7 linked regions of the Mus musculus genome follow. The protein of the gene in region 1 interacts with the protein of each later gene in a pairwise test. Links are inferred from orthologs where the notes say so. Each region holds a gene or a part of one and is shown in the gene's direction. Other genes may lie near its edges.

The links.
Region 2: the proteins of Egfr (region 1) and Lat interact in binary tests that used the Homo sapiens proteins (3 or more experiments, as listed by UniProt). The link is inferred for Mus musculus from reciprocal best matches to the Homo sapiens genes EGFR and LAT.
Region 3: the proteins of Egfr (region 1) and Atic interact in a protein complementation assay, tested with the Homo sapiens proteins (2 studies listed by BioGRID and IntAct). The link is inferred for Mus musculus from reciprocal best matches to the Homo sapiens genes EGFR and ATIC.
Region 4: the proteins of Egfr (region 1) and Vapa interact in binary tests that used the Homo sapiens proteins (3 or more experiments, as listed by UniProt). The link is inferred for Mus musculus from reciprocal best matches to the Homo sapiens genes EGFR and VAPA.
Region 5: the proteins of Egfr (region 1) and Sh3gl3 interact in a protein complementation assay, tested with the Homo sapiens proteins (3 studies listed by BioGRID and IntAct, with this or other methods). The link is inferred for Mus musculus from reciprocal best matches to the Homo sapiens genes EGFR and SH3GL3.
Region 6: the proteins of Egfr (region 1) and Tlr2 interact in binary tests that used the Homo sapiens proteins (3 or more experiments, as listed by UniProt). The link is inferred for Mus musculus from reciprocal best matches to the Homo sapiens genes EGFR and TLR2.
Region 7: the proteins of Egfr (region 1) and Rgs4 interact in a protein complementation assay, tested with the Homo sapiens proteins (3 studies listed by BioGRID and IntAct, with this or other methods). The link is inferred for Mus musculus from reciprocal best matches to the Homo sapiens genes EGFR and RGS4.

The regions. Positions count from the first base shown.
Region 1 is NC_000077.6:16,750,720-16,755,002, forward strand, and holds the start of Egfr (epidermal growth factor receptor isoform 1 precursor), read left to right. Parts: upstream 1-1,483; 5' UTR 1,484-1,763; coding exon 1,764-1,851; intron 1,852-4,283. UniProt on the Homo sapiens protein: Receptor tyrosine kinase binding ligands of the EGF family and activating several signaling cascades to convert extracellular cues into appropriate cellular responses.
Region 2 is NC_000073.6:126,366,569-126,370,698, reverse strand, and holds the start of Lat (linker for activation of T-cells family member 1 precursor), read left to right. Parts: upstream 1-1,448; coding exon 1,449-1,551; intron 1,552-1,729; coding exon 1,730-1,757; intron 1,758-1,862; coding exon 1,863-1,897; intron 1,898-2,116; coding exon 2,117-2,204; intron 2,205-2,335; coding exon 2,336-2,400; intron 2,401-2,483; coding exon 2,484-2,513; intron 2,514-2,592; coding exon 2,593-2,653; exon of another isoform or gene 2,654-2,728; coding exon 2,729-2,823; intron 2,824-4,130. Other genes in the region: Spns1 (protein spinster homolog 1), read left to right, coding at 286-380. UniProt on the Homo sapiens protein: Required for TCR (T-cell antigen receptor)- and pre-TCR-mediated signaling, both in mature T-cells and during their development.
Region 3 is NC_000067.6:71,577,030-71,579,903, forward strand, and holds the end of Atic (bifunctional purine biosynthesis protein ATIC), read left to right. Parts: intron 1-756; coding exon 757-912; intron 913-1,522; coding exon 1,523-1,642; 3' UTR 1,643-2,374; downstream 2,375-2,874. UniProt on the Homo sapiens protein: Bifunctional enzyme that catalyzes the last two steps of purine biosynthesis.
Region 4 is NC_000083.6:65,582,556-65,586,055, reverse strand, and holds part of Vapa (vesicle-associated membrane protein-associated protein A), read left to right. Parts: intron 1-3,302; coding exon 3,303-3,476; intron 3,477-3,500. UniProt on the Homo sapiens protein: Endoplasmic reticulum (ER)-anchored protein that mediates the formation of contact sites between the ER and endosomes via interaction with FFAT motif-containing proteins such as STARD3 or WDR44.
Region 5 is NC_000073.6:82,272,296-82,275,795, forward strand, and holds part of Sh3gl3 (endophilin-A3), read left to right. Parts: intron 1-1,565; coding exon 1,566-1,699; intron 1,700-3,500. UniProt on the Homo sapiens protein: Implicated in endocytosis. May recruit other proteins to membranes with high curvature.
Region 6 is NC_000069.6:83,838,809-83,842,832, reverse strand, and holds the start of Tlr2 (toll-like receptor 2 precursor), read left to right. Parts: upstream 1-1,224; 5' UTR 1,225-1,313; intron 1,314-1,409; exon of another isoform or gene 1,410-1,696; 5' UTR 1,697-1,794; coding exon of another isoform or gene 1,795-1,809; 5' UTR 1,810-1,944; intron 1,945-4,024. UniProt on the Homo sapiens protein: Cooperates with LY96 to mediate the innate immune response to bacterial lipoproteins and other microbial cell wall components. Cooperates with TLR1 or TLR6 to mediate the innate immune response to bacterial lipoproteins or lipopeptides.
Region 7 is NC_000067.6:169,744,843-169,749,058, reverse strand, and holds the start of Rgs4 (regulator of G-protein signaling 4), read left to right. Parts: upstream 1-1,416; 5' UTR 1,417-1,535; coding exon 1,536-1,579; intron 1,580-3,737; coding exon 3,738-3,842; intron 3,843-4,216. UniProt on the Homo sapiens protein: Inhibits signal transduction by increasing the GTPase activity of G protein alpha subunits thereby driving them into their inactive GDP-bound form. Activity on G(z)-alpha is inhibited by phosphorylation of the G-protein.

The DNA.
Region 1 (4,283 bases):
CTCATTCAAAACCTAATTTTTTGTAACAATAAACAAATCAATCTCATTGGTATGCAAATTTGCCTTAATCTTTAGTAAGTGGTAAAGTCATATATATGCCAAAAATTATCTTAACATTGCATTAGGATCTACCATTAGTCGATGTCTGATTTGAACACCTATTTTATATAAAATCCCAAGATTACATAAAAAGCATCTATGAAAAGAGGTTGCCCGTGGGAAAAGTTTAAGAAACCCCGCTCTACTTCTCAGTGAAGGTCTCAGGTTGTGATGAGGGTCCCTGCACAGGCTGGGTGACGTGTTCCCATTCAAGACGCCACCTACAAAACTTGGGCAGCAGCCCTGACTTTGCAGGGTGCGGACGAAAAGTCCGGAATGCCTCCTTTCTGGCTGCATGGAAAAAGCTGGACTGAGCCTCACTGGTTAGCCATGACTTCTGCTAACAAGGACACCCACAGCAAAGGGGCCTAAATTAGGGGACCAAGTGATTTTGTGAAAAACTCAGAGACTTTGGATTGAATGGAAGCAGGGGACATTCCTCTGATAGCTAAGAAGTAGGGACATTGGTTGGTCTTTGCTGAAGGAATTTAGTTGTGGGTCCTGAAGTTCAGGGACACATTTCTACTGGTCAAATTCTAAGTGAACTTACTTGGCAATTTGCCTCCTGATGTGCGGCAGGGCTAGCTGAGGTCACTAGAGGATGCTAACTGCTCTAAAGATTTGTTCACTGCTGTTATGTCAAGTCTCTGCTTTTGTGGAGGAATTTGCCTCATGTGTACGTTGCTTTGCTTTTCAAGCACTCCAGACTGGCTCCAGGTGTAGAAAATGCCATGTTCTTCAACATGCATGCTTTCATCCAGCAAATATACTGAGGCCCTTCTAAGTGTCAGGAGTTGGCTGCCCTTCTTTCAGAAGACATGGAGGGTTCTTGATGGGATCTGAAGGACCCTTGGACTTCTTAGTGCCACTTCAGACTTGAGGCACCCGCCTCTGCCTGTGCTGTTGGAAACTGCTGCCAAGTCAGCCTGACCCTTCTGAGATCCTGGAGAAGTTATGGAGAATACGTGAACAGCGTCCCCACCTGTGTTATTCTCCAACCTGTGCTCTGTGGTTGGACAGTTTGTAACCGAGGTGGTCCAGAGTTGTTTGGTTAATTGAAAGAAAGGAAGGAAGAAGGTGGGAGACAGAGGGAAGGAAGGAGGGGACCCTGGCATAGATTGGCTGGACTTCCTAGGTCCTGAAATGCAGCGGAGCGGAGTCCCCTCAGAAATTAACTCCAAAGGCCACCCACTGACCCGCTGCACACAGCCAGAACTCGCCCCCAGAGCCTTGTCTAGTGGTGGCCAAGGCCATCCACCACCACCTTCCGGTCACTGCCTGCTTTCGATCCTCGCGGAGAGCGCTTCCTCTCTCCTGACATTCTCCTCCTCTTCGCTCCTCTGGATCCCTCCTCCTTCTTTAGTCCCTCCTCCTCCCGCCCAGCCTCCCCCAGTCCCGACCCGAGCTAACTAGACGTCTGGGCAGCCCCAGCGCAACGCGCAGCAGCCTCCCTCCTCTTCTTCCCGCACTGTGCGCTCCTCCTGGGCTAGGGCGTCTGGATCGAGTCCCGGAGGCTACCGCCTCCCAGACAGACGACAGGTCACCTGGACGCGAGCCTGTGTCCGGGTCTCGTCGTTGCCGGCGCAGTCACTGGGCACAACCGTGGGACTCCGTCTGTCTCGGATTAATCCCGGAGAGCCAGAGCCAACCTCTCCCGGTCAGAGATGCGACCCTCAGGGACCGCGAGAACCACACTGCTGGTGTTGCTGACCGCGCTCTGCGCCGCAGGTGGGGCGTTGGAGGAAAAGAAAGGTAAGGGCGTGTCCCACCGGCCCGCGCCCCCTGCGAGCTAGCTCGCCCAGTCCCAACCTCCGCTCGGGACTCTAAGTCCCCAGCCGCCCGCTCCTCCTCTTCTGGCTCCCAAAGGCGGCCGGGACCATAGGAGGAACTGGACGGAGTCTGGAATGGGCGAGACTGGGGCCGCCGAAGGAAGGGAGACTGGGCTAGGAGCAGAGGGGCTGCCAGGGCAGCGTGGGAGCCGCGGCTGTGCGCTCCGGGGCTCTTGACTGCTGCCAACTTAGTTGCCTCACTTTCCTGCGCTCAGTAGGCGTTCGGAGCAGAAACGTGGTGCGGGACAGCGCGGGACGCCGGGCATTGGCGCACGTGCGCCCAGTACTGTCAGGGAGAGCGGAGGGACCCCGGATCCTCAAGCGGGTCGGGTGTGTCCCACCCGCTCAGTGTGAGAGTTGAGGGACTGGAGTGCGAACCAACGCGCCCCTGGTCAAGGTCGGAACCTCTGAGACGCGCGGTTTCCTGAGCGCGGTTTCCCTCAACTCCTCTCTTCTCCAGCAGGGTACTCTCAGGACCTGGTAGCCTGAGTCCCAATGTAGCTTGCAGATTTCTGGCTTGCCCTTTCGCGGGTGTGTAGTTGCAGCAATGACCTGGAAGTGTGGAGATCTCTCTGTCACTAACCACCTAGGACTTCTGGGAAGAGATGGTGTTAGTGGTCATTTGCTTCTTCACTAGGAAAAAAAAAAGGAGGGCGTGGGGGTGGCGGGTGGGGTGGGTCGATTCCGCCTCTTAGGCATAGAGCATGCCAGAGACTTGCCAGGCTAGGTGCACTGGTTGGGGACCAAGGCTCCATGCCAGATTGGAGCTAGCGTTGCGGGGTGGCTACTTCCCCTGGGATCCCTGAATTTGCCCTTTCCCAGAAGCTTGGGCTGCTGCAGCATCACTTGCCTTTGCAATGGATGGCTGACCTCCTTGTGACAGCTGGGCCCTTGGGTGTAGTGCACCCTTGGTGTTTCAAAATGAGGCCGGTAGCAAACTTTCTTACTTGTTAGCTGAGACGTTCCCTCTTGGGTTTCTTTTTCTTTTCTTTCCTTCCACACCCCTCCCCCCCCCCAAGTGATTGATATTTGGCCAACTAAAATATAACCCCTAATTAAAAAGAAACATTGATGTCCATGGATCACACATGCCAACTGTCCAGACGGAACATGAACAAGTCTGGCTTCATGACTATCCGACCATAAACCCACTTGACACGAGAAACATGCCTCGGAAGGTTTAATTGCACAATTTCAAAATCCAGCCGCTCGGGTTCCAGGAGTCAGGTCTGCACTTGCTGTTGATGTCATCCGCATCCAAGTTGGACTTGGGGGTTGGTGCTCCGTGCACTTTTGTTGGAGGGGGTGTAAGGCTCAGTTTCCCAAACTTAACTACACAATGAAATCATTTGGGTTTAAAAATCAACAAGCAAAACAAACTACACCCCTCCTCCGTTGTTTAGCTACCACTCCATACACTCAGATTTCACGGGTCGATCTTGAGAATTAGAATTTTCAAAACTCTTGTAGCATTTGATTTGAGACTCGCTAGCATAAATGAAAAATTGATAACATCTAAAGGAAGACTACCACGACGGTTCTAACGAGCAGGAGTCTGGGAAATCTTGCAGTACAGGAAATAGCAGGGATAAAGTCGGTAAAGAGGGCTTGCTTTTTTCACAGATGGGATGGAGCACTGTGGAGCTTTTCTCCTACCTTCCTTAGCTGAAGGGCTCCAGGCCCCATCGGTCAGTTGCCTGGCATCTGTGCCTACCCATAGGACTCCCTCCCCTAGTTTTCAGTTTCCCTTAGAGCCCCTGTAGAACACCAGTTGTCTCAGCTTAACTCTGTGTTTCTTCGCTGTTAGGTGTTACTGTTATGAACACTGTTAGTGGTTGGAGATTTGTTTTCGGTTAAATAAAAATGCCACTTCATCTGTCTGTTTGTATGATATTCACTTAAAGCCAAATGCTTCTGGGTGTAGCAGGAAAGGTAGCAAGCAAATATTTATCTGTCAAAGTAACGTAAAAAGGCTAAGTTCTAAAGGACAGATTATTGAAAACGTGAGACACCCTTTCTGCAACAGGCTGATAAAAGATTTGTTTGTTTAATTGGTCAGTTTTGTTCCAGACTGGCTCCCTTAGTTGAGGTAGGGTGTTTATCCTTCCCTCCAAATCTATGGTACCATATGTAAATGTCATCAAAGCAGAAGACAGTTAGACTCTGTTTTCAGTGCATTGTCAGTCCTCACATTGCATGTAGTGAGAGGTGATTCTCATCATCTGTTTGGGGAACCTATGCACAGAGAAGTGTAGTGATTTTCCCCCATAGCTGTTAAGAAGTGATGCCAAAATTGATTCAAGTTCCTTCCACCTCCAAACTACACTACCTTATTGTAGGAGGACCAGGCTAGGT
Region 2 (4,130 bases), on another chromosome or scaffold:
CCACCTGCCTGTCTGTCTGTCTCCGCGTATGTACTCTACAGTTCTCCCTCCACTCAGACTAGCCCATCCATTCATGCCACCAGCTGGGGGCAAGAGTCCCAGCATCCCAGGCTCATCCAGCTTAGCTTTGGGTCTGTCTGGAAGTGGATTGGGCTCTGTCTGTGTGCAGTTCTGAGGGCTCTCCATGCTGCCTCATCTGGGCCCCTCTGCCTGTGTCCCCTTGCTGCCTGTGTCCCCTTGCTGGCTCTTATCTTACTGGCCTTGGCTCTGACCCCTTTCTCGCAGGTCTGTTGCATGAGTCTGGGCCCTCAGATGACCGGATTGTAGTACCTCAGCGAGGCCGTTCTACCCGAGTCCCCGTGTCCAGCGTGCTCATCTGAGGAGCCGGTGCTTACCCGGCCACTGATGCATCGCAGCTGGGCCTTGGGCCCACCCAAGACGGTTCCCAGGCAGAAGCCCTCACCAGGCCCAGGTCCAAGAAGGAAGCCCTGGGATATCTCCCAGCTCCCAGACACTACATGGGCAGCCCAGGGAAGAGATGGGAGTCCAGAAACGGGGAAGGGGTGTCCTCTCTACTAGGACAGCCCAAGGGGTTTGGTGCTATTTGTAATGGAATAAAATTTGTAATCAGACTCCTGACTGACTGCTTGTCTCTCTGTGGGTGCCACTGGCCTCAGGGAATATCCATAGTCCCAGGACTTAGCAGGGGCTGTCAGGTCACCCTGTGGGTAAGTCCCTGTCTTCTGAGCTTGGTAATCTAGAAGGAGGGCTGCTCTTTTCTGAGTGAGCTGGTTCAGTATGACTGTGACTCACCGTGGTCCCCTGGAAGTCGCTCTCCCAGTAGTTAAGCCTGGGAGCTGGGGGCCTGTGGTGCCCTCAGTGCCCTCGGTCCACACAGGCCTTGGCAGAGCCTCCTTGCAGTTCTCCCACCCGGGCATGGGGAGGGTACCGCGGGCCTGGTTGGCACGTGTCTCCTTTCCTAGTGGACGGGCTGCCTCATCCTGCAGCCTTAGACCCTTCCTCCACACAGTCCCTCTGCCTCCTCCCCCTTCCCACAACTGGGTGGGGGTGAGTGGGCAGGGGGCAGGCTCAGCCTGCTGAGCAGCCTGATGATTTCCTGCCCTCACCACAGCTTCCTGTCGCACGCGGTGGTGAGCAGGAGAGGCAGGCGGGGAGCAAGAAAGGGGCAGGTACAGCTGGGCACGGGGATCGTGCAGCTGGTAGCTGGGGCACGGGCCCCAGCTCTGGCTCTGGGGCGAGCACCTTTCCAGAGCCAACACTGCTCTCAACTCAGTCCAGCAAGAGAGGGGAGCCATCCAGCCCCGAAAGGATACGGCTGCCTACTGCCGGGCGGATCCCAGGCTGGAGCCCGCTTGGTCCCATACCCCTGCTGCCACTCTGTCTCGAGGGGCTGCAGTGCAGCAGGGCCTGTGGCAGGTGCTCTGCAGATGGAAGCAGACGCCTTGAGCCCGGTGGGGCTGGGCCTCCTGCTGCTGCCCTTCTTGGTCACGCTCCTGGCTGCCCTGTGCGTGCGCTGCCGTGAGTTGCCAGGTAAGTGGGAAGCTTTGCGGAACTGGATGATGGGTGGGCGCTCCATTGGATCCTCATACCCTCCCCAGCCCCTGCACTCTCCACTGTCCCTACCTGGGCCCTGATTGATGGTGGGGGGCCTGAGTTTCTTTGTCCCTGGTGCACCCCGATCCTGACTTGTTGGATTTCTTTCCTCCAGTCTCCTATGACAGCACTTCCACAGAGAGGTGAGTGGGAAGCCCGTGTCCCTGTGTGTCTTCCCTTGGTTCCACTCAAGGGTTTGGGGCTGGGGCCCTCTTGGCCCTGTACCCAAGCTGTCTCTTTCCTGCCAGTTTGTACCCAAGAAGCATCCTCATCAAGCCACCTCGTGAGTTCAGTGTCTCTGGCCCTCCTCGAGGGTTTTTAAGAGTGTGCGTTTGTCCTTGTTCACCTTTAGCTGTCTGAAGGGCTGTTCCCTGGCTTGGGATGGGGAAAGTGGGAGCCCCCATGTCTGTCTAGGGCATGTTATTTTGGGGTCCATTTGTCCTTCGAGGCCTTGATGGGGGGTGTCTGGAGCCATCCCTCAAGCTTCATTCTGTGTCCTCAGAAATAACCGTCCCCCGAACACCTGCTGTTTCCTACCCTCTAGTCACTTCCTTCCCACCCCTGAGGCAGCCAGACCTGCTCCCCATCCCGTGAGTATCCCCCAACTCCGTCCCTTGGGTCTACTGTGCCTCTCCACCTTCTAGGTTGGGGAGGCGCTTTTTCCTGGTTGTCTTGCTCCCAGAGTCCTACCTAGACGTAATCTCTGACCTTTGGCTTCCAGGAGATCCCCACAGCCCCTTGGGGGTTCCCATCGGATGCCATCTTCCCAGCAGAATTCAGATGATGGTAAGGGTGTAGGGCACAGGAGGGCTTTGGGGAGGATGTACAACCTGAGCTGATCCAGTCTTCTTCTCCCTCTCTCTTTGAAGCCAACAGTGTGGCAAGCTACGAGAACCAGGGTGGGTCTGGGGTCTGGGGTAGTGGGTGGGGTGGGGAGGCTGGACCTGTCCAGGTCGTGTTAACTCTCCTTTCTCACAGAGCCAGCCTGTAAGAATGTGGATGCAGATGAGGATGAAGACGACTATCCCAACGGCTACCTGTGAGTGGGTAGAGGGGAGGTGACCGTGGAAGTTGTGTGCCCTTTATCAACTTCTCGTTCCTTCCTTTCTTCCAGAGTGGTGCTGCCTGACAGTAGTCCTGCTGCCGTCCCTGTTGTCTCCTCTGCTCCTGTGCCTAGCAACCCTGACCTTGGAGACAGTGCCTTCTCTGGTGAGTCAGGCTTTCTGTCTACCTCCCTCTGCCATGTGCTGCCAGCTCTCCACTCTTGCCTCCCTCTCACCTCCGTGACGATTGCCGCCCTTCCATTTCCTCCTGTAGACGTTGGGCTTCCTGCTCCTCATCACTTCCGACTGTCTTGTTTTTCCTTCCACCTTTGCTCCTTCGTCTCTGTTGTCTAAGAAATTTCCTGACTCTTTTTGAACCCTGCCATTGAAATTTCATTTCTCGGCTGGGTGTGAGGGCCTACGATCCCAGCATCAGGAGGCAGTGGCAGGAGGGTTGAATTTGAGGCTAGCCTGGGCTACATAGTGATACCCTCTCTTCGAAAACCAAAACAGCACGACGATCAACAAAAAGAAAACAAAAGAATTTATTTCTCTTATCTGAAAGTCCCCCTCCCCTTTTTTGGCGTCTCGGTTCTTTTTGTATAGTACACTGTTGTTTCTTGGAAGCAATATCATCTAATGTATCTATAAGAACTTTGATTACATAGCCGGGTGGTGGTGGCGCACGCCTTTAATTCCAGCACTCGGGAGGCAGAGGCAGGCGGATTTCTGAGTTCAAGGCCAGCCTGGTCTACAGAGTGAGTTCCAGGACAGCCAGGACTACACAGAGAAACCCTGTCTCGAAAAAACAAAACAAAACAAATTTTGATTACAGATTGTTTCTCTCTGTGTCTCTATCCCTCTCTGGTTCTGCCCGTCTCTCTGTATCTCTGCCCGTCTCTCTGTATCTCTGCCCGTCTCTCTGTATCTCTGCCCGTCTCTCTGTATCTCTGCCCGTCTCTCTGTATCTCTGCCCGTCTCTCTGTATCTATCTCTGCCCGTCTCTCTGTATCTCTGCCCGTCTCTCTGTATCTCTGCCCGTCTCTCTGTATCTCTGCCTGTCTCTCTCACACACACTCACTGAAGATTTATTCTGCGTACCACATGGTCGTTGTTTCTCTTGGGCTGCTTTTCTCTGCTTTGGTCTTTCTCCTTCCTTGAGCTTTTCTCAAGTTCTGGTGATCTTCAGTTTTCTATCCTCTTATCTCTGTATAGCATGAGTATCCCTTACCTGAAACACTTCAATACAGATTTGGGAATATTTATAAACATATAATAAATTCTCTTGGGGATGAAACTCAAGATAAAACATGTAATTAATTTATTCATGTTTTATACAAACCATATATGTAATATATACACAGTCTGAAGATAGGTTTTTGTTTTGTCTTAGTTTTATTGGCATAGAGCGTCATTGTATAGTCCTGGCTGTCCTGGAACTTGATATCTAGACCAGGTAGACTCAAACTCAAA
Region 3 (2,874 bases), on another chromosome or scaffold:
ATGGGTTATAATATTGTCACTGCAGGGCTGTTCTTCTCCATCTGCCAGCATCCCCTAGTGTCAGCAGAGGTGACATTAGACTTGAGCCACACGTGATCTGATAGCTGGTCACCAGGGGCCTTCTCCTACCACATTTATACAAAAGCCCTTAGCAGCTCCGTGTGGTTTTGGTACTATTTCTGGTTTTGTTTGGTTTCATGTAAGATGGTGGCTCTAGTGTAGGCTGAGCTGCACTGCAGCTGTGAGTGCAGGATTGTCGGCATGCTCCATTGCAGCCTGCAGAAGGCCTTATTACTTACCACCTCTGCACTGGGATTACACTTCATGGTCAGCTTGTGAGGTGACAGCATCAGATAGTAGTAAATGCCGTGCGTCTCTTTGATTTGCCTGCGGCTGACTTTATACCTGAAACAGTTGTACATGTAGTTCATGTACACAGACATCAGTTATTATCCAGGTCCTAGGTTAGACATGAAGCATTGTCTTAAATGGTTTGGTGAAGGTATATAAAATTACAGATTTAACTTTGAGAGTCAGGACTATTGTAGGTTTTAGGATAAACAAAAGTACAATCTATTCTCTTTGGCAACCTAAGAATGACCTTTCCTTAATGAACATGTTTTTAAAACATCAAAGAACCTCGGCGTGTTGTTTAGTGAGCAGACAGGAGAATGCCCTAGTGGTTGCTGGCCTTGTGCTCTCATTGGATTGCGCTAACAGTGATGCTGGGCTCCCTTTCCGTCCCTGGCTCCCTAGGGCGAAGACCTGGTGAAATGGGAAGCACTGTTCGAAGAGGTTCCTGAGTTACTCACGGAGGCGGAGAAGAAGGAATGGGTGGACAAGCTGAGCGGCGTGTCTGTCAGCTCCGACGCCTTCTTTCCTTTCAGGGATAATGTGGACCGAGCTAAAAGGGTAAGCAAGAACTGGAGTGTGCTGGGGACGTAGAATTGTAGGGATGATTTCAGATAGCCCCTTAGAGTCTGGGGATGTGCACAGGCCACTCGAGCAGTCGATGCCTGGCCTCAGTTTCAGTTCCTAGCTTCACAAAACGAAATTGTGCTTCCTGTGTTTTAGCTTCCTAGAGTCGCATCGGAAAGCTATGTCGGTTTGATATAAGTGAGCTATTTTCCTTCCCTGTGTGATGTAGGCAAAATCCAAATTCTCTTGCTTTGTCTGGATATTTCATCGTTAGCTTATGCTTTTTTAAAGATTTATTTTTATATATTTTTATATTTTATATACATGCATGTACTTATGTATGTATTATGTGTACCTTCCTGGTGCTCATGGAGGCCAGAAGAGGGCGTCAGAGACCCTAGACTGGAGTTACAGATGGTTGTGAGTGCTATGTTATATGGGTGCTGAGAACCAATCTTGAATTCTTTGGGAAAGCAGCCAGTGCTCTAAACCATTGAGTCCTCTCTCCCACCGCTGCATTCTAGAGGGGAATTTTGGGTTTTTCTAGGTATGCATACTATAATGCCTTGAAAGTCACCATTGGTTTTGGGGGTTTTCTCCGCAGAGTGGTGTGGCCTACATTGTCGCTCCATCTGGATCTACTGCTGACAAGGTTGTGATTGAGGCGTGCGACGAGCTGGGGATTGTCTTGGCTCATACGGATCTCCGGCTCTTCCACCACTGACCTTAGCTGACATTGTTTCCTGGTCGTAGATAATCATGTGTGGGGTCTTGGAAGTACCTCTAGAAGAGTCATTTGTATCTTAATATCTGGGTGTGTGGTTTAGTAGGTGGGTCTTACTTATCTGAAAGGTAGAGCTTTCTAGCCTAAGACACCTTATGTGAGGCTTGTTTCTGCAAAACCTGAAAGCATCTCTCCCTCCTGGAGCCAGCTTTCAGGAAAAGTCCCTGTGAGACACCTAAGTGCAGGTAACCAGGAGAAGCCACGCTGCCTTATGATGACATGCCACCCCCACCCCACCCCACCACCACCACCCTGCCCAGCGCTCTCCCCAGGGCTCCTTTCTTCCTGCCTCTCGGAAGCTTAACTGTTTGCTTCCCATTATCCCCTGGGAACTGGGTCCTTAACTAGATCTAAATGCTGGGACTGCTCTTTCTTTCTCCAGAATTGCTTAAAACCTCTGTTGGCTACTTAGTATTCCTGTTTGGTATAAACTTATAAATGGACTGGCGTTCTGCATAGAGCTTTTCACCCAAAGTGAGCAGATATTAACTTGTGGGGGTCAGGGGGAAGTGGGGGTGGGGGTGGAGTGCCTCCCTGTACCAGGCAGGACATAACTGGATCTATGTCCCTGTGGTTATAGTCCTCACTGTTCACCCAGAGGATCCCTGTGGTCACTTAGCCTTAGGTTAGTTTTGCCTTCTTTCCAATCCTCTAAATAAATTTTAAAACTTTTTGGGTTTGTGGTTACTTTTGTTTTGTTTTGTTTTGTTTTGTTTTGTTTTGTTTTGTTTTGTTTGACATAAGGTTTCTCTGTAGCTCCTGCTGTCCTGGAACTTGTAACTGAGGCTGATCTGGAACTCACAGAGTTCCACCTGTCCCCTCGGCCTCATAGTGCTGGAGGTAAAGGTTAGCACACCACACCCAGCACAGAACATTTTATAATAAACAGTCATCTTTTGAGTTGTTTCTGTGCTGGCTGATCTTTCAACTCTTGGAGTGGCCCGCTGAAACAAAGTGGACTTACATAATCAGTAAACTGTGTGGCTTCACAGGGCAGAGATCCCTCAGCCTTGGTTTCTTGGATTGCTTGCTGCTATAGCAACATTCCCTGCCTCTTTGAGGACACAGACATCTGGCTCATGCTAACTGCCAGCCTTGTGAATGAGAAGCTCTAGCAATGGGACTTTCTGTTCCCGTCTCTGGCTTTCACCTCGTGAGGTACCTGAGTCTTA
Region 4 (3,500 bases), on another chromosome or scaffold:
AATCCTGCTGGTGATGAGAGTGCCCTTTACTTCCCCTCTTGGAGCTTCATGACCGGCCTTGTAGAAGAACAGCCCGTTCTTCACCACTGTGCCATCTCTAGCTCCCTAATAAGGCCTTAAAATACCTAGCTTTAGGGAGGCAAGCAGAGCTCTGAGTTCAGGGCTAGCTTGTCCCGTGTAGCTAGTTTCAGGCAAGCTGGGTTACATAGTGAGAGCCTATCTCAAAAAAACCAAGAAAACAAAACAAAAAACAAGCAAACAAATCTTTTTTTTAAGTCTAAATGTCTAACTCTTGCTTGGCTTTATAATTTGAAATTACTTACTTTGATGACCATGGGCCTAGAGAAATTGTTTTGCTGTTAGGGTAGAAAGTAAAAAAATCTATGGAGCCTTGCTCTTTGAGTATTTCAATTCAAAGATTAAAACTTTAATTCTGACAGCATAGACATAGTTTTTGCCTTTAGCTGCACACTGCCTTAATGTGTTGACACCCTTTACTCACAGCAGTGGTAAGCATGCCCATTAGCTCCTGTCTTAGAGCTTCACTGAAAATAGTTACTCTGCCATAGGTTTCACTCTTCCTTTCGGTGTCTAGTCCCTAACTCCTTTGCCCCTACAAAGTTACTGAAAGTGAAATCCTTATGGGACTACTGCAGATAGAAGAGTATAGGATAGTGGAAAGTGTATACCATACTGCTGTAGCTTATTGTAACTTGAGGTGTTAAAGCATGATGTTACTCTTGTTGGTAAGAGTCACGGCATATCGAATCTGTTTATTTGGTTGATCCGTGGTCCTAAAAGCAGTTTGTTCTTTCTGGATCAATCTGAAGTAACTTTAAAAAGAGCAAGCTGGCGTCCTGCAGGCAAACTCACTAGTGGAGGTTCCATCAGAAGTATTCACATAGTCACCTGTTTAGTGTACCCACAAAAGACTCAGCCTTCTCTCTTGATCTTCAGCTAAGCCAGGTTGTTTGTTTATACATTAGAGATCTTTAAGTTTGTTTTTTCATCTGCTATGTATTGTAAATGAAATACAAATTCCATATAGTAGCTGCCCATCAGACTTCTAACAAAAATGAAATGTTGAGTGATTTTGATAGTCCTAGAATGGAATATTTAATGAAATATTGTGCCACTTTAAATAGTTGAAAGATACATAAAGCAGAATGCACACCTGTATAGTTACATGAATGCTGACTTTTTTATTTTATAGTCCTCGGTGATTGAACCAAGGTCCTTACACATGGTATAAAATGCATATGAAAATATCGAGGACGATAATATGAATTTGTTTGGTTAATGATATAGCAAGAATGGTCATTTTTTTTTTTTTTTGGTCTTTGTAGTCCTGGTTGTACTGGAATAGTATTGGTTGTACTATATAGACCAGGCTGGTCTTGAATTCACAGAGATACTCCTGGCACACCCAGCATATGTTTTTTAAGAATTTATTTATCTTTATTTTAAAATCATTAACATTATTAGCTTTGTATAATTTTGGAGTCAATATGGGGCTAACACTGATTTTTCTCTCAGTTTTTTTGCTCCTGTACTGGAGGATGAGCCTAGGACCTTCTGCGGGGAAACAGATTAGTACTTTCTGCTTAGTACTTTCTTCATTCTTAGGCAAAGTGTGAGGACTCTATTTGCCTGTTAAGTTTTCTCTCTTTACAGACAGAGGTGACATGTTCTTAATTGTGCAGGATAGGATTTGAGAAATCAGTTTGAAGTCAATTTAATTATTGTCAAGAGAAAACTCAGAAAATATTGTTAGCAAAATATGAAGTAAAGGTTTTTCTTTTAGAGATAGATTTAGTTGGACATTGGGGAAGAGTATGATAAAGAATAAGTGTGTCAGCAGGAGAAACTCCGAATAAATTGAAGTAAGCAGCTCTGTAACTTTGAAGTATGCACCCTTCTCAGCTGTGAAACTTGCAAGTGGTTAAATGGGCTAGCAGGTCAGATACTTAGCTAAGTGCCTGTATTAGAATACCTTGTTGCTTTTATAAAGTACCTGCCCAGGCAGCTTCAGGAGAACTTGATGATGGCTCACAGGTGGAGGGTACAGTCCAACCTGGTAGTGGTAGCATGGGCAGCTGGTTGGCAGGCTGCCCCTGCAGGCGGGAAGCAGTGATGAGTGCTGGTGTTCACCTTCTTGTGGCTTGTCCCACTTTTCTTAATACAGATGTGCCCAGAGGTTTGTTTACAGTCCTGGGTGATTCTAGATCTGTCTGGTTGACAGTGTTAACCATTGTAGCCCAACTGGCTGCCAGATTTGGGATGTCTTAAAATTTACTTTGGGATGTCAAATATCTTGATTAGTGGTTATTACCTGGATTAAAGCTTGCCTTTTTAAATTTTGTGGTTAACAGCAAACCCAAGGTCTCCTGCTTGTTATCAAATGTTACATTGACTTAACCTGAAAAGGATGACTTTATATTGATACTGTTACTGTATGTGGTAGCATAATGTTGGATTTTAAGGATACTGAAACACTTTAGATCACAGGCTTAGAAAATAATGTTGGTGTTGCCACAGGTGTCCAAGTGCTTGTGGTGTTGGTAAGACCTTACAGTTTTGAAAGTTGTCTTAACCTGCCACCTAGATAGAATACCACAATGAATCACACTAATTGGACAGTCTACAGTTTAAATGATCCTCTGTGTTAAAGACCACAGATAGCGGCCATTGTATTACTTGTTTATTGTTTCCCTTCTAGTGTTTGCATCTTTTAGTTACTTTATTTCATTAATAGACATTAGATTGTTTTTGACTGTATATCCTTAGGTAGTTATAACCTTACTGGAGTGATTATGAGATAGATTGTCCTGTACTTTCCAATTCCTAAGACCTCATTTGACTGCATGCAGTCAGACCATTAGAAATGACCCAGAGCTTCTCATTCAGCACATTTCACTCACTGACTGCTCGTGGACAAAGTGTGTGTCTAGGGGTAAATAATAAAGAGACGTAGTGAATTTCCTTCCATTTGAAATTCTGGAGTAAAGAATGTAAATATGAGTTATGATATCTTTTAAGTGTTATGCTAAGGTAAGTTCCAAGGGTGTGGGAGTAGAAGACATCGGCTGCTTATTTTGATTAGCTGCTGGTGTTTTATTGACATGTTCCAGTGAACATTGTCTGCAGGTGATCTTAGTTGCTACTTAATAAATCTTACAATTAGTTGAAACTTGTCATATTTTCATGACATTTTTAGAAGAGAAATATGTAGAACTTAGGTTTGTATTAGTTTAAAACCCATAAATTTTTTGTTAAAGATTCCCAATATCTTTGAAACACAGAATGATATGGAACCTAGCAAAGCTGTTCCACTGAATGCATCCAAACAAGACGGACCCCTGCCAAAACCACACAGTGTTTCACTCAATGATACGGAAACAAGGAAACTGATGGAAGAGTGCAAGCGACTCCAGGGAGAAATGATGAAGCTCTCAGAAGAAAACCGACACCTGAGAGTAAGTTTTTTGGGTTGAAAATGA
Region 5 (3,500 bases), on another chromosome or scaffold:
GTCCCTAAGCTAGGAAAAGACATCCTTCCTCCATGTAGGAACAACTCAGAATCAAATTCTAGCCAGCTCAGTTTAGAAAACCTCTCCTCCTAGGAGAAGTGACATTGCGAGGGTTGGACTGGCTTCCTGGCCAACCCTAACTTCCAGAGATGGTTTCCACTTCTAATTGGCAAGGAAACAGCTGTGAATTTACTTCCTTTAAGAATGAGGTGAGGCCGTCATTGCTTTCCCTGTTTTAGACATGAGTGAACTGCTCATGCCATTGACTTACTCGAAAGTCAGCCTCAGGCTGGGCCCCTCAGGTTTCTAATCTGAGGAACTGAGTGCATCTCATCCCCATGTTTTTACAAAATCAATTTGGAAGATCTCAAATAAAATAAAATAGTTGAATTTCATGCAGTGTCCCCAGGTGTGTCTTTCAGAGGTGCCACAACCTCACTGTGCATGGCAACAGACACTGGGTGGCAAAGGCCTTGCAAGTTACACTCAAGATACTAGGGTATAAGTCACTAAAGATGTCCACATCCCAGAACCATCCCTTACCACCCCACCTGTCCACAGGGCATCCCTGATACCCAAGACCCCAGGGAGGTTCCAGAACTTTAGGACCTCGTGCAATGAATGGCTTCCTATCGCCCCCACGGCAAGCTGAGGGAGGCCTTCTTTCCATTGTAATCTGAATTGGTTAACACAGATCCCCACAAACGAATCCATCCCTTCATTGTTACAAAGATGTTTTATCTCTGATCTTGTAAGGAGCCCTTGGTGCCAGTTTTCAGACCTGATTTTCCACAGAAGAACTTTGTCTCCATCTAATGGCCAACGTGGGAAGTGCTTTGACCCTCCAACTCTCTTTCTTTCTTTCTTTCTTTCTTTCTTTCTTTCTTTCTTTCTTTCTTTCTTTCTTTCTTTCTTTCTTCCTTCCTTCCTTCCTTCCTTCCTTCCTTCCTTCCTTTCTTTCCCTCCCTCCCTCCCTCCCTCTCTCCCTTCCTTTCCTTTCCCTTTCCCTTTCCCTCTTTCTTTCTTTCTTTCTTTCTTTCTTTCTTTCCCTCCCTCCCTCCCTCCCTCCCTCCCTCCCTCCCTCCCTCCCTCCCTCCCTCCCTCTCTCTTCCTTTCCTTTCCCTTTCCCCTTCCCTTTCCCTTTCCCTTTCCTTTTCCCTTTCCCTCTTTCTTTCTTTCTTTCTTTCTTTCTTTCTTTCTTTCTTTCTTTCTCTCTCTCTCTCTCTCTCTCTCTCTCTCTCTCTCTCTCTCTCTCTCTCTCTCTCTCTCTCTCTCTCTTTCTTTCTTTCTTTCTTTCTTGGTTTGTCGAGACAGGGTTTCTCTGTATAGCCCTGGCTATCCTGGAACTCACTTTGTAGACCAGGCTGGCCTCGAACTCACTCTTAAGGACAGGGGAGAGGGCAGGCCACAGGTACACATGCAGGAAATGGGTAGATTTTCTTCTTTTCCCATTCGTTCTGAGTCAGGAAGCAGAGGCCTCAGAGTGAAGCCTCACTGTACCACAGTCCGTGTCACCCCAACCTAGACTGTCATTCTGAAGGAATCATTGTGTTCTTCTGTTCAAGGCAACTCGTTGGTAGATGTTGGTGAGGCCCTGAAACTCATGGCTGAGGTGAAAGACTCTCTGGATATTAATGTGAAGCAAACTTTTATTGACCCACTGCAGCTACTGCAAGACAAAGATTTAAAGGAGATCGGGGTGAGTCTTCCTGGCTGTCCTGTGCCAGCTGCTGCTCATCATGATACCACGACTTAAAACCAAGGTTTCTGCGTGGGCTCGGCAACCACACAGTCTTATCTGAGGGTTGAAAACTGCACTCGATTACTATATTATATGGGTTCCTGAGAGAGTACCGGGATCCGTTTCTCCTGGCAGACAGACTGGGTGGAGGTGCAGGCTCCGCTGTCACTGTCCTGTTCTTCGTCTCACTGAGTCATCTGCGAGCCAGGCTGAATATCATATTTCTGCAGCCACTTCTCATATAACACAACGACATCATACTTTGGGGTGTAGATTTGATTGCTAATATCACACTGTATCGGTTGTGTGCTTGTGGTCATTCTGTTTCATTCTTTCTCGAGAAAATCATTGTCTAGAAACTGGCAGTTTTATCCTGGAAACCTGCAAGAAATTGTTTTGTCCAGGGTGTCTGTGGGAACTTCCAGGTCTCGTTCAGCTCGGCTGCTTTTGCAGATGTGCAAGCCAGCTCCAAGCCAGCTCCAAGCAATGCAGACTGCCAGACTTCGGCGCTGAAGGTCCAGGCGCCCTCTTGTGGTGTTGTAGAGAATAGCTCACTGCCTTCAAACTTGATTGACATCTCCCTTCAGCTGCAGACTCATTTGAGTCTTGTCGCCATCTTTCCAGACCCAGACAGTTTTAAGAGTGTAGCCACCGAGATCATGAGTTAAGGAGAACTTGGGCTATGTGGCGTGTTCCTGCAACAAACAGATGAAGCATATAGACGTGAGGTAGGAAAACAGCAGTTACCAATGCTGGAGAGAAGAGCAGGGACGCCTGAGGAGGGGCACCATCCTCCGCATAGCTGGATGAGGAAAGGCCACCGAGGAGCTGTCCAGGATGACTGGGCTGGGTAAATAGGCAGCACATCTTGCTGAAGGGCCAGGGTTAGGATGTCTAGGAACCCAGGGCACAGGGGAAGACCAGGTAGCTATGGAGGGAGAGAAGCCTGGGAGTCCTGGAGAACTCCAGATGCCTTTACCTGCATTTAGAGTTTATTCTAAAAGCAGAAGGCATCAGAGAAGGACCCGGGAAGGCTGGATGAGAAATGAAAGCTGCTGTTTTGGTCCCCCTCCTTATTTGGACAACTCTGGATCCCCTCACCTGTCACCCCTTCCTTCCATCCCAGGAAAAGCATGCCCACTCCACACTGGGCCCAGGTCCATCCCTCTCACCCCACCAAGACCCATCTTCCTTCCCCCATGTCCAGTCTTCCTGCTTGTGTTGATCTCTCCCTGTGGTATTCAAACCTGTCGAGAATCCCTTGACACGCTACATCATCATCGTCATCATCATCGTTTTTGGAGGAATTGGCAATGGAAATATTCTTATTTTTTGTAGAGTTAGGGTGGTTAGACATTGTGTATGTTAACAGAACTGGGGAAGGGAGTCCTGTGGAGACAGGAAGGGTTACCTGAGCGAGGACACTGCATCCTTCCTTATTCTCCACACAGACTCTCATTCTCACCTGCTGCCCACCCCTCGCCCATCATGTGTCCTTCTGTAAATGTTTCGAATGCTAGGCAGGGTGGGTGGCCTTCAGCAAGAGACAGAGGGTGCAGAGCAGAGGATGTAACTGGTTTCTACCTGAAGAGTGGGTGGGGCCGAGGCTCACAGCATCCCACCCCATAGCTTAGGACTGGACTCCCTCTAGGGGATGGAGGGGTCAGTTTTCTTGAGGAGTTCTCCAGCAGGTGGCTCTGTGTCCTTGCACAACTGACTATGTGGCCTCCATGGATTTACAAGAGCACGTGAAGTTGGG
Region 6 (4,024 bases), on another chromosome or scaffold:
TGGGGGTAAGGTTGCTTGCTCTGCATCCAATCTCGCCTTGCCGAGGTCAAATGGGATCACAGGCACCCGAGGCAGGTGATTAACTTGTTTTAAAGTAGGGGGTTTCCCCTTACAACTGGAATATGGAGCCACATCTCCACCATGAAGCAAACCAATCTACGCTGTTTTCAGAATCACTCTGCGATGCAGCTATGGGATAGAGAAAGGGAAGTACTTAGCTTCAAAGCCATAGATAGAAGTGGGGGCCCCGAATCTTCCCCATGCTTAGAAGGGGGGCTGTTCTGGGGGCCAAGGAAAGAGAAACATATCTGTGCCATCCTTATCCATTCATATCCCAAGCACAATGCTGCCATTCAGGTCTGCATGGAGGCTGGTAGACTCTGTTATCAGATGCTGAGCAGAAATGGATCCCAGAGACATAAGGGCAGGGGGACAAAGTGTTGAAAAGGAGGAGAAAGAGAAAATATTCCTGAGCCCAAGTTGCAACCTCTGAGGATGGAGAGATAGCAAAAGAGTTCAAAAGATGTGTTTGAGGGAGAAGTGAGATTCTGAGATTAGAGTAGTTAGAGTTAGGACCTGGGTCTTGGCAGCCCTGGCTGTCTAGCCTATCCTTTTGGGCCTCGATAGGGTATTTAAATGATTATCAGTAGACAGCAGAAAAGTAGCTATTCAGTGTAGCCACATCAGGAAGACAACTAAATAATGAGGGTGTACGACGCCCCCATCCTAAGTTCAGCATCCTGTCACCACAGGTTTAGATTTAGATAATACAGAAAGAATCCATAAGTAGGCAGTTTTGGTCAAGGTGTGCTATCCCCCCGAGTCATTCAGCCATCATTGTCCAGGCCTCCAGTGTTTTCCTCATGGTGAACTGATAAAAACTCCCTGTGACTGGCACAGGGCTGTAATTTTTTAACGTTTCCTAGCTGGAGCATTCCAATAACCAAAGAGAGTGCGTCTCTTCAGAATATCCTCTTCCTTCCAGAATCCTTGCAGCAGCTCAACTCAGCCAAAAGGCGAGCTGGGAGGCAGCTTTCTCTTTAGGACACCTGGGGAATTCCCACACGGAGCCTCTGGACTTTCAGTTCTGTTTTGCCTGCCCTGTGGCTCCTGCCAGCTCTGATGCCAGGCTCCGTTCCCCTTGCAGACCCCTGTGGGCGGCGCTTGCCGCACCGGGGGCGGTGCTGGCGACCGGGAAGTTCGGGGCCCTGACCTGGGGACATCCCCTTCCCTCACTTCCAGGTCTTCAGTCTTCCTAGGCTGGTGCCCAGATGGCTAGTGGGCACGGGGAGCGGCGGCTGGAGGACTCCTAGGTAGGTGGATCGGTCCTGCTGCCGGGTTGCTGCACCCCTCCCCGGACAGGGTCGAATCGACCGGGGCGGCCGCTGTGCTGTGCGGGGACCTGGTTTCCAAAGTGAAGCACCTGCGCCCCCAGCCGGGCGGATCAGCTTTGGGGCCAGATGTTTGTTTCCTGCTGTGATCCCTGCAGGAAGAGGGACACCCAGGGAAGAGGGGGCCACCGGAGAGCTGCAGCCACTGTCCCAGAGCCCGCGGCTGTGTGATCTGCGTCTTTACAGCCTTTCTGGCCCTGGGGTCACAGAAGGGAGTGTCTGTAGTGTCTCTGAACCCTGGGAAGCTAGGGTGAACGGTGACGCTGTCCCAACTTACATCCAGTCCACCCCTCTCTTGTCCCCAGGCTCCGGGCAGGCGGTCACTGGCAGGAGATGTGTCCGCAATCATAGTTTCTGATGGTGAAGGTTGGACGGCAGTCTCTGCGACCTAGAAGTGGAAAAGATGTCGTTCAAGGAGGTGCGGACTGTTTCCTTCTGACCAGGATCTTGTTTCTGAGTGTAGGGGCTTCACTTCTCTGCTTTTCGTTCATCTCTGGAGCATCCGAATTGCATCACCGGTCAGAAAACAACTTACCGAAACCTCAGACAAAGCGTGAGTGGAGTCTTTTAATAAGTATCTTATGACTTCTTCAGTCCTATAAACGAGAACCTTGTGTTTACATCTTAGATGTCAGGAAAAGGCTTTTCTAGTTTCAAAAAGGAGAAATATTATTTCGGGTGTAAAACGCTCAGATTGCCTGGAGGCTTTTGATCTGACAGAAAGTTCTTCAGCAAAGAGCAAATGGTAGGTAAGGTGGCTGGACTCAGACGGAGAGACCCTTTTCCTCCCCAAAAGGGAAATATTATGAGTACTGGAAAATATCTTATTTCACTACACTCGAAGTTTTTTGTTGTTTTTTTGTTTTTTTGTTTGTTTTGTTTTTGTTTTGTTTTGTTTTGTTTTTCTGTTCTAAGCAAAGAACACTTGCACCTTAAACCTTTAATTAGTGAATACAAAAACTGCCAGGCATTGACAGTATGTTTTGGAAGTTTCTAAGCTACCAAGTTTTTGTTTGTTTGTTTGTTCTAAATTTATAAGTTAACATTTAACGGGATAAGTGCCCAATGAAAAATCACCCTCCCATTTAAAGAAGTGAAGCTTAAGGGAGAACACTTAACATAGGGAAACAATTCAGAACGTTCATAATGCAACGATTGGAAGCCTCCACATATTAATTATATTGAATAGAAGGTACTTCACTTAAATGATCAAGTTAGTAGCGTCAGGAAAGAATTAACATCTACAACCTACAATCATAGGCTGGCTTAGCTTTTTTGAGATGGTCTCAGGCCTTATGCTGAGACCGCAACTCATCGTGTGATTGTGGATGTCTTTGAACTACTGACTTCCTGCCTCCGCCTGCCTGAGTCTAGGTGTCCACAACTGTGCCCTGTTTATTCAGTCCTGGGGGTCAAACACAATGGCATACTAGCAAAGTGCTACAGACAAGCTGCATCCCAGGCCCATCGCCTGCTGTGTCTGAGATAGATTCCTTAGGGGCACTAAAGGGGAAAATGTACAACCAGCTATCAAGAGAAGCTGTGGGAGGGAGGTGGAGAGGTGGATCTGCAGTAAGGAGTACTTGCTGATCTCTCAGAGGACCTGGGCTCAGTTCCCAACACCCACATGGTTATAGGGGCTCTCATGTCTTCATTTGGTCCACATGTGCACATTCAGGCAAAACACTCACACACTCATACCTATACCATACAGTGGCACTTGCCACCAGGCCTGATGACCCGAGCTCAATCCCCAGAACCACATGGTGGAAAGAGAGAACTGGCTTCCTCAAATTGTCCTCTAACTTCCACATTTGGGTAGTAGCGCACGTATGCCATCCCCCAACCATTACAGAAGCATAAAACATATTTTGGGAAATTGTTGCGTTATTTCACTGAGCAAATATGACCACAGCACGTGTGGTTGCATGGAACAGCTACAGGGTATAGGGCCCAGAAGGTGCCCTGGGAGACGAGCCTTGGATTCTCCCAGGAAAGCATACTGGGGAAGTGAGGCAAACTACCTTATTTCCTTTTCATTCATCTAAGTAGCCAATCTGGGATTGGACACAGCTTTCCGAGAACTTAACTCAGCAGAATGAGAAGGTTCTGGGGGCCTGAATGTCTCCCTCAATTTGGCAGACTATTGACGCCTCTCTGCCTAGGGCTCTAGACATTCCTTTTGTCTGGTAGTAGTAGGAGCAAGGCAGAGTGAGTAGGCTGTTTCCGTGCCCAGTGAGAGATCACGGACCAAGGGAGCAATGAGTTGAGTAAGAGACATCCTTGGTGAGCGTTAAAGATAGGAGCCCGCCACTAGAGAGCCATAGGCCACATCTAGTTCATTTCTTTAACTACTGACTTGTTCATTCTCATTCATCTGTTTATGTTCAACCCACATTTATTGAGTCCTGTGTTGTTGTTGTTGTTTTTGCCTCTCAGATGATTGTTTTTACGTTTCTTCATCTGCTATTGCTACTGTATATAACAAAATTAATTTTTAATTTTCATTCATGTATTGTGTTTGCCTGTAACTTATTCCTTGCATGAGGGAGAGAGACAGAAAGACAGAGAGACAGAGAGAATGTGAATAAGCGTGATAATAATGATATGTCCTCAGATACACTCACTCACAT
Region 7 (4,216 bases), on another chromosome or scaffold:
CATACTCAGCTAGCCAAGGAAGATGTGTACGATAAAGAGGGCAGGTGTTTGGTCCAGAGCATAGAAGAACATTACATGCTTCTATTTCCCATTCTATATTTTTGATACCTCTGAGAGAAACCCTTCTCTAAAGAAAGCTATTGGTACCTCTCTTTCTTTGTGCAAATCATCCGATGTCTTGTTTTTATTTACTTTCAGCCCCAAAGACTGAAAAGCAGTGATGTCTTTGTGTGTAAAATCTAGGTCACTGGATTAAGACCAGGCACCTGTGTGACTTTAAGACGAAAGCTGTTTTGGTCAGACACTGAAGCAAACCTCTCTCTTCCAGTCACAACTCCCCAGTGTGTACACAGCCAATTTGCGTTGCCTATCTGGGTATTTCAACCATGATTGCAAGATGTGAAGTACTTGCAGGAGTCTGAAGATTTCAGTCCGTGGCAGTGAATGTGAAAGATTCTTGGAAACTCAGAAGCCACAGCACGGATGGCTGCTCTCCCACCGTTTTCACAGCCTGTTAATATGCAAGGCAAACTACACATCTTTCTGCCTGCTGGATCTTCTCTCTCTCTCTCTCTCTCTCTCTCTCTCTCTCTCTCTCTCTCTCTCCCCCCTCCCTCCCTCCCTCCCTCCCTCTCTCTTTTTTGAATAATAAAGATTTAGCATTACATATCATACAAACTCAGGTGCAATTGGAATTGGTGTCTTAATGTGTCCATCCACCCCTGCTTTGGTCCTTTTAGTCTTTTGCAGGAGTCAAGGGTCTTCAGGAGAGAACGCCAAAGCTGGACTAGATTTTGTGCTCAGTAACATATTTAGGAATGTCTCAAGGTCATATTGATTACAGACATACTGGATTTAACTTCCATTGGCTTTGCTATGCTGCCGGACATATAGCTGTTTGCTATCCACATCCCTCCGTGTCTACCAATCAGGCAGGATATTTCATTAAATCACTGCCCAGAGACCACGATCTTAGTACCAGCTCTGCCTCACACTACCCAGAATATATTTCTAACCCAAGGAGAAACATGTATTGAGACCCAGACGTAGAGTAGGATGAAGACTCCTTGCTGGTTTCTTTCTTTCTGGGAGAACAGTTCCTTAGACATTGATCTTACAAGCCAATGAATATTTTTCAGCACGGTGGATTCTATATTTCCTTTCCTACAAATGCAAAACTTGACGCGTAGGTAGAAACGTTAAGCAAAACCTCATTTTCTATATGCCTACTTTGCGAATGGCTTCTCTCCGCTGGGTCCATTTGCATCCCTGATGCGTCAGTTGTTTCTTCCTCACCCTTTCTGAGGGCTGGAGAGGCAGCGCGCCGCAGCAGAGCGGAGCCTGCAGACCTGTCATCTGATTGGCTGCCGGGTGCGTGGCTGAGCTATAAAAGAGACCCCACCGGGCTTGAAAGCCAGAGGCTCAGAGGATTCTGACAGCTTCTTTGCAGAGCAGAAGCAACTGTGCTCAAAATAGAAACCACCGCGGCTCCCGCTGCCTTTCTCTCCTCGCTAAGAATCCCTCAGTTAAACAAGATGTGCAAAGGACTTGCAGGTCTGCCGGCTTCCTGCCTGAGGAGGTAAGATTGGTTTCTGTTACTGGTCAGGCTAAAGTTTTGCATAGACTTTTTCAGTGAGTTGCATGCTTTTGCTTAGGAAGTTCTCTGGGATCAGAAGCTATATGCTCCAGGAAGCCCTGGTAGCGTCTCCCTAGGACCAGCCAGATTGCTGTATTTTACATGACTTCAGTTTTGAGACTGGCTTTGACTTGTAAGCTGGGTCCTTTAGTTAAGCTGTTTGAATTACGAAGTGATAGGAGGTGTGGGGGATGCATCTGTACTCTTTCCATAACCATGTCCTGTTGGAGCATTTCTGAAATCATGATTAACTAGTTCTTGTGTGAGGGAAGAAACCTCAGAAGGAAGTTTGGAGACATTGTCAGAATGCTTTCTGTGGCATTCTTCAGTGTCCTCTGCCTTGGTTGTCAACAAGCGTAAGCATAAAAGATTTTTTTTTCCAAACTACATCTCTGTGGTTGAGAAATATATACAGTTTGTAACATAGCAGCTTAAAGTTTTAGAGGCACCTGTGTGCCTTTGCGTTCATTTTTTTTAAGGGTATGAATGAATGATTTCATGGAGTACTTATATATATAGTAGTTGGTTTAAAATAAAACACAAGGTTAGTGTGTATTACATGATTTCCTCTTGAACTTAGAGGTCAGAAGTGATCTGTGGCTCTACCAAACCTCCCTAACCATCCTTGGAGATATAAATCTCAACTTGGAAATAATTCCCCAAAGCACAATGTTTGTCTGCCCTCAAAGGGTTAATCAGCTCTCATCTTCAGTGCTAGGGTCTCCAGAGGGTCTTATCTGCTCAAGGTCACATGGTTGGTGGTGGTAGAGGAAGGACCATGTCCAGGTTACCTGTCTCCAGGGACTTCTAACGTAACTTTGGTTTTTATTTTTCGGCTTCTGTTGTGTTACAAGATATTTGCCAAACACGCTTCCAGCTCCTTGGAAATGCCCCTTCACTTAGTCAGTAGCTGCCGGGGCTCAGGCAGAGGCAGCACACGGAGACAGGAAGTCATATCTCTTTGGGCTGGATTACAATGCATCCATAGCATCACCTTAGGACTGTCCCAACTCTGGTGATTTTTATCTTGCTGTTACTGGGAAGGATTTTGTCACCAGTCACCAGCTTGGGAAAAAGAGAAAGGAAGATGGCCTTATGAGAGATGGAAAAATACTACCTTAAAGGGCAGCCCAAGAATAGCCTGAGATTCGGACGTTCTAAGAAAATCCACTGATAAGCAACCAGCTTGTCAACCTCCATCCTAAGGGGCTGCTGAGCACTGCCGTTCTTTGCCAACCCTTTCAGGCAAGAACGGCTCATCCTCTGTTGCTCTGGAAACACATTTAAACCATTCTTGGCTTTTATAATAAAAGAGATAATAGTAATATAGTTTTAGAAATCTATTAAGAAAGAATGACAGAGTTGAGCTGGAAGTTCAAGTAGTCAGAAACTCTGTGGTACCCTGGCTGTTGAGTGGTGGTTGGAAAGTGGAAACTGCTCTAATTAATTACTTGCCTCAGCCTTGACTCTGTCTTGCTTCTCCTATCCCAAAGTCTCAGATGCCCTTTTAAATGTGCATCTCCCTGTAATGTAGATTTGGGGTTGTTTGTTTGTTGTTTGCAGCTCTAGGTGGAGGTTGCCTAGAAACCAGCCTGGCAGGGCTGCACTTTCAGCCTGAGCACACTCCCTTGTACCATTCACTTTTCCTGCTCCTCTCTGCAGCACTACACACTTAAGCTGATGCTCTGCACACACACACACACACACACACACACACACACACACACACACACACACACACACACACACTGAGAACTCCTTGGCTACCATTTTCAGGGCTAACTGGACTCACTTTACAGAAGTGCTTCCCCTGCTCACCTTGGGAAGTAGCACCAGGCTGCCAGAAGATGTCCTACAGGCAGCATGGGTCCTGTTTTGCAGTTACTGCACACATTTCAAAGTAGCAGCCACTTCTTAACATGTTTTCACCAACGATATCAAAAGCCATATGCAGAAACAAAGGAATCGCTTCTGGGAGTTCAAGCCACTGCAAGTCCCCTAAGGACACTGCTTCTGACCCACACAGCAGTCTTAAGAGCCTTCATGTCTCTCTTTGAAGGAAATGTGTTTTTCATGTTAAGTGTTGTCTTCTTCCTTGCAGTGCAAAGGACATGAAACATCGGCTGGGGTTCCTGCTGCAGAAGTCAGATTCCTGCGAACACAGTTCTTCACACAGCAAGAAGGACAAAGTAGTAACTTGCCAGAGGTAAGAGAGGTGGCTTCAGCGAAGAGCCCTTGAGGGTTAACTATCTGATAATAGAGAAGTTGTGTGTTGTACGTAAAGAGTGAGTGTGAAGACAGGCCCTTAGCTGAGCCAGATTTGGGTCAAGATGGCCTCTACTTTCAAGGTGAGGGTACACAATTGTAGTCTCATCACTTGGAAGGTTAGGAGGGCCATGAGTTCAAGACTAGCCTGAGATTTATAAGAAGATATTATAACACACACACACACACACACACACACACACACACACACACACACACACACACACACACACAGGAGGATGGAGAGAGATAGACAGGCAGATAGACAAGAGAGTCTAGTTTATGTCAATCATAATTAGAATTTGAATCTACATA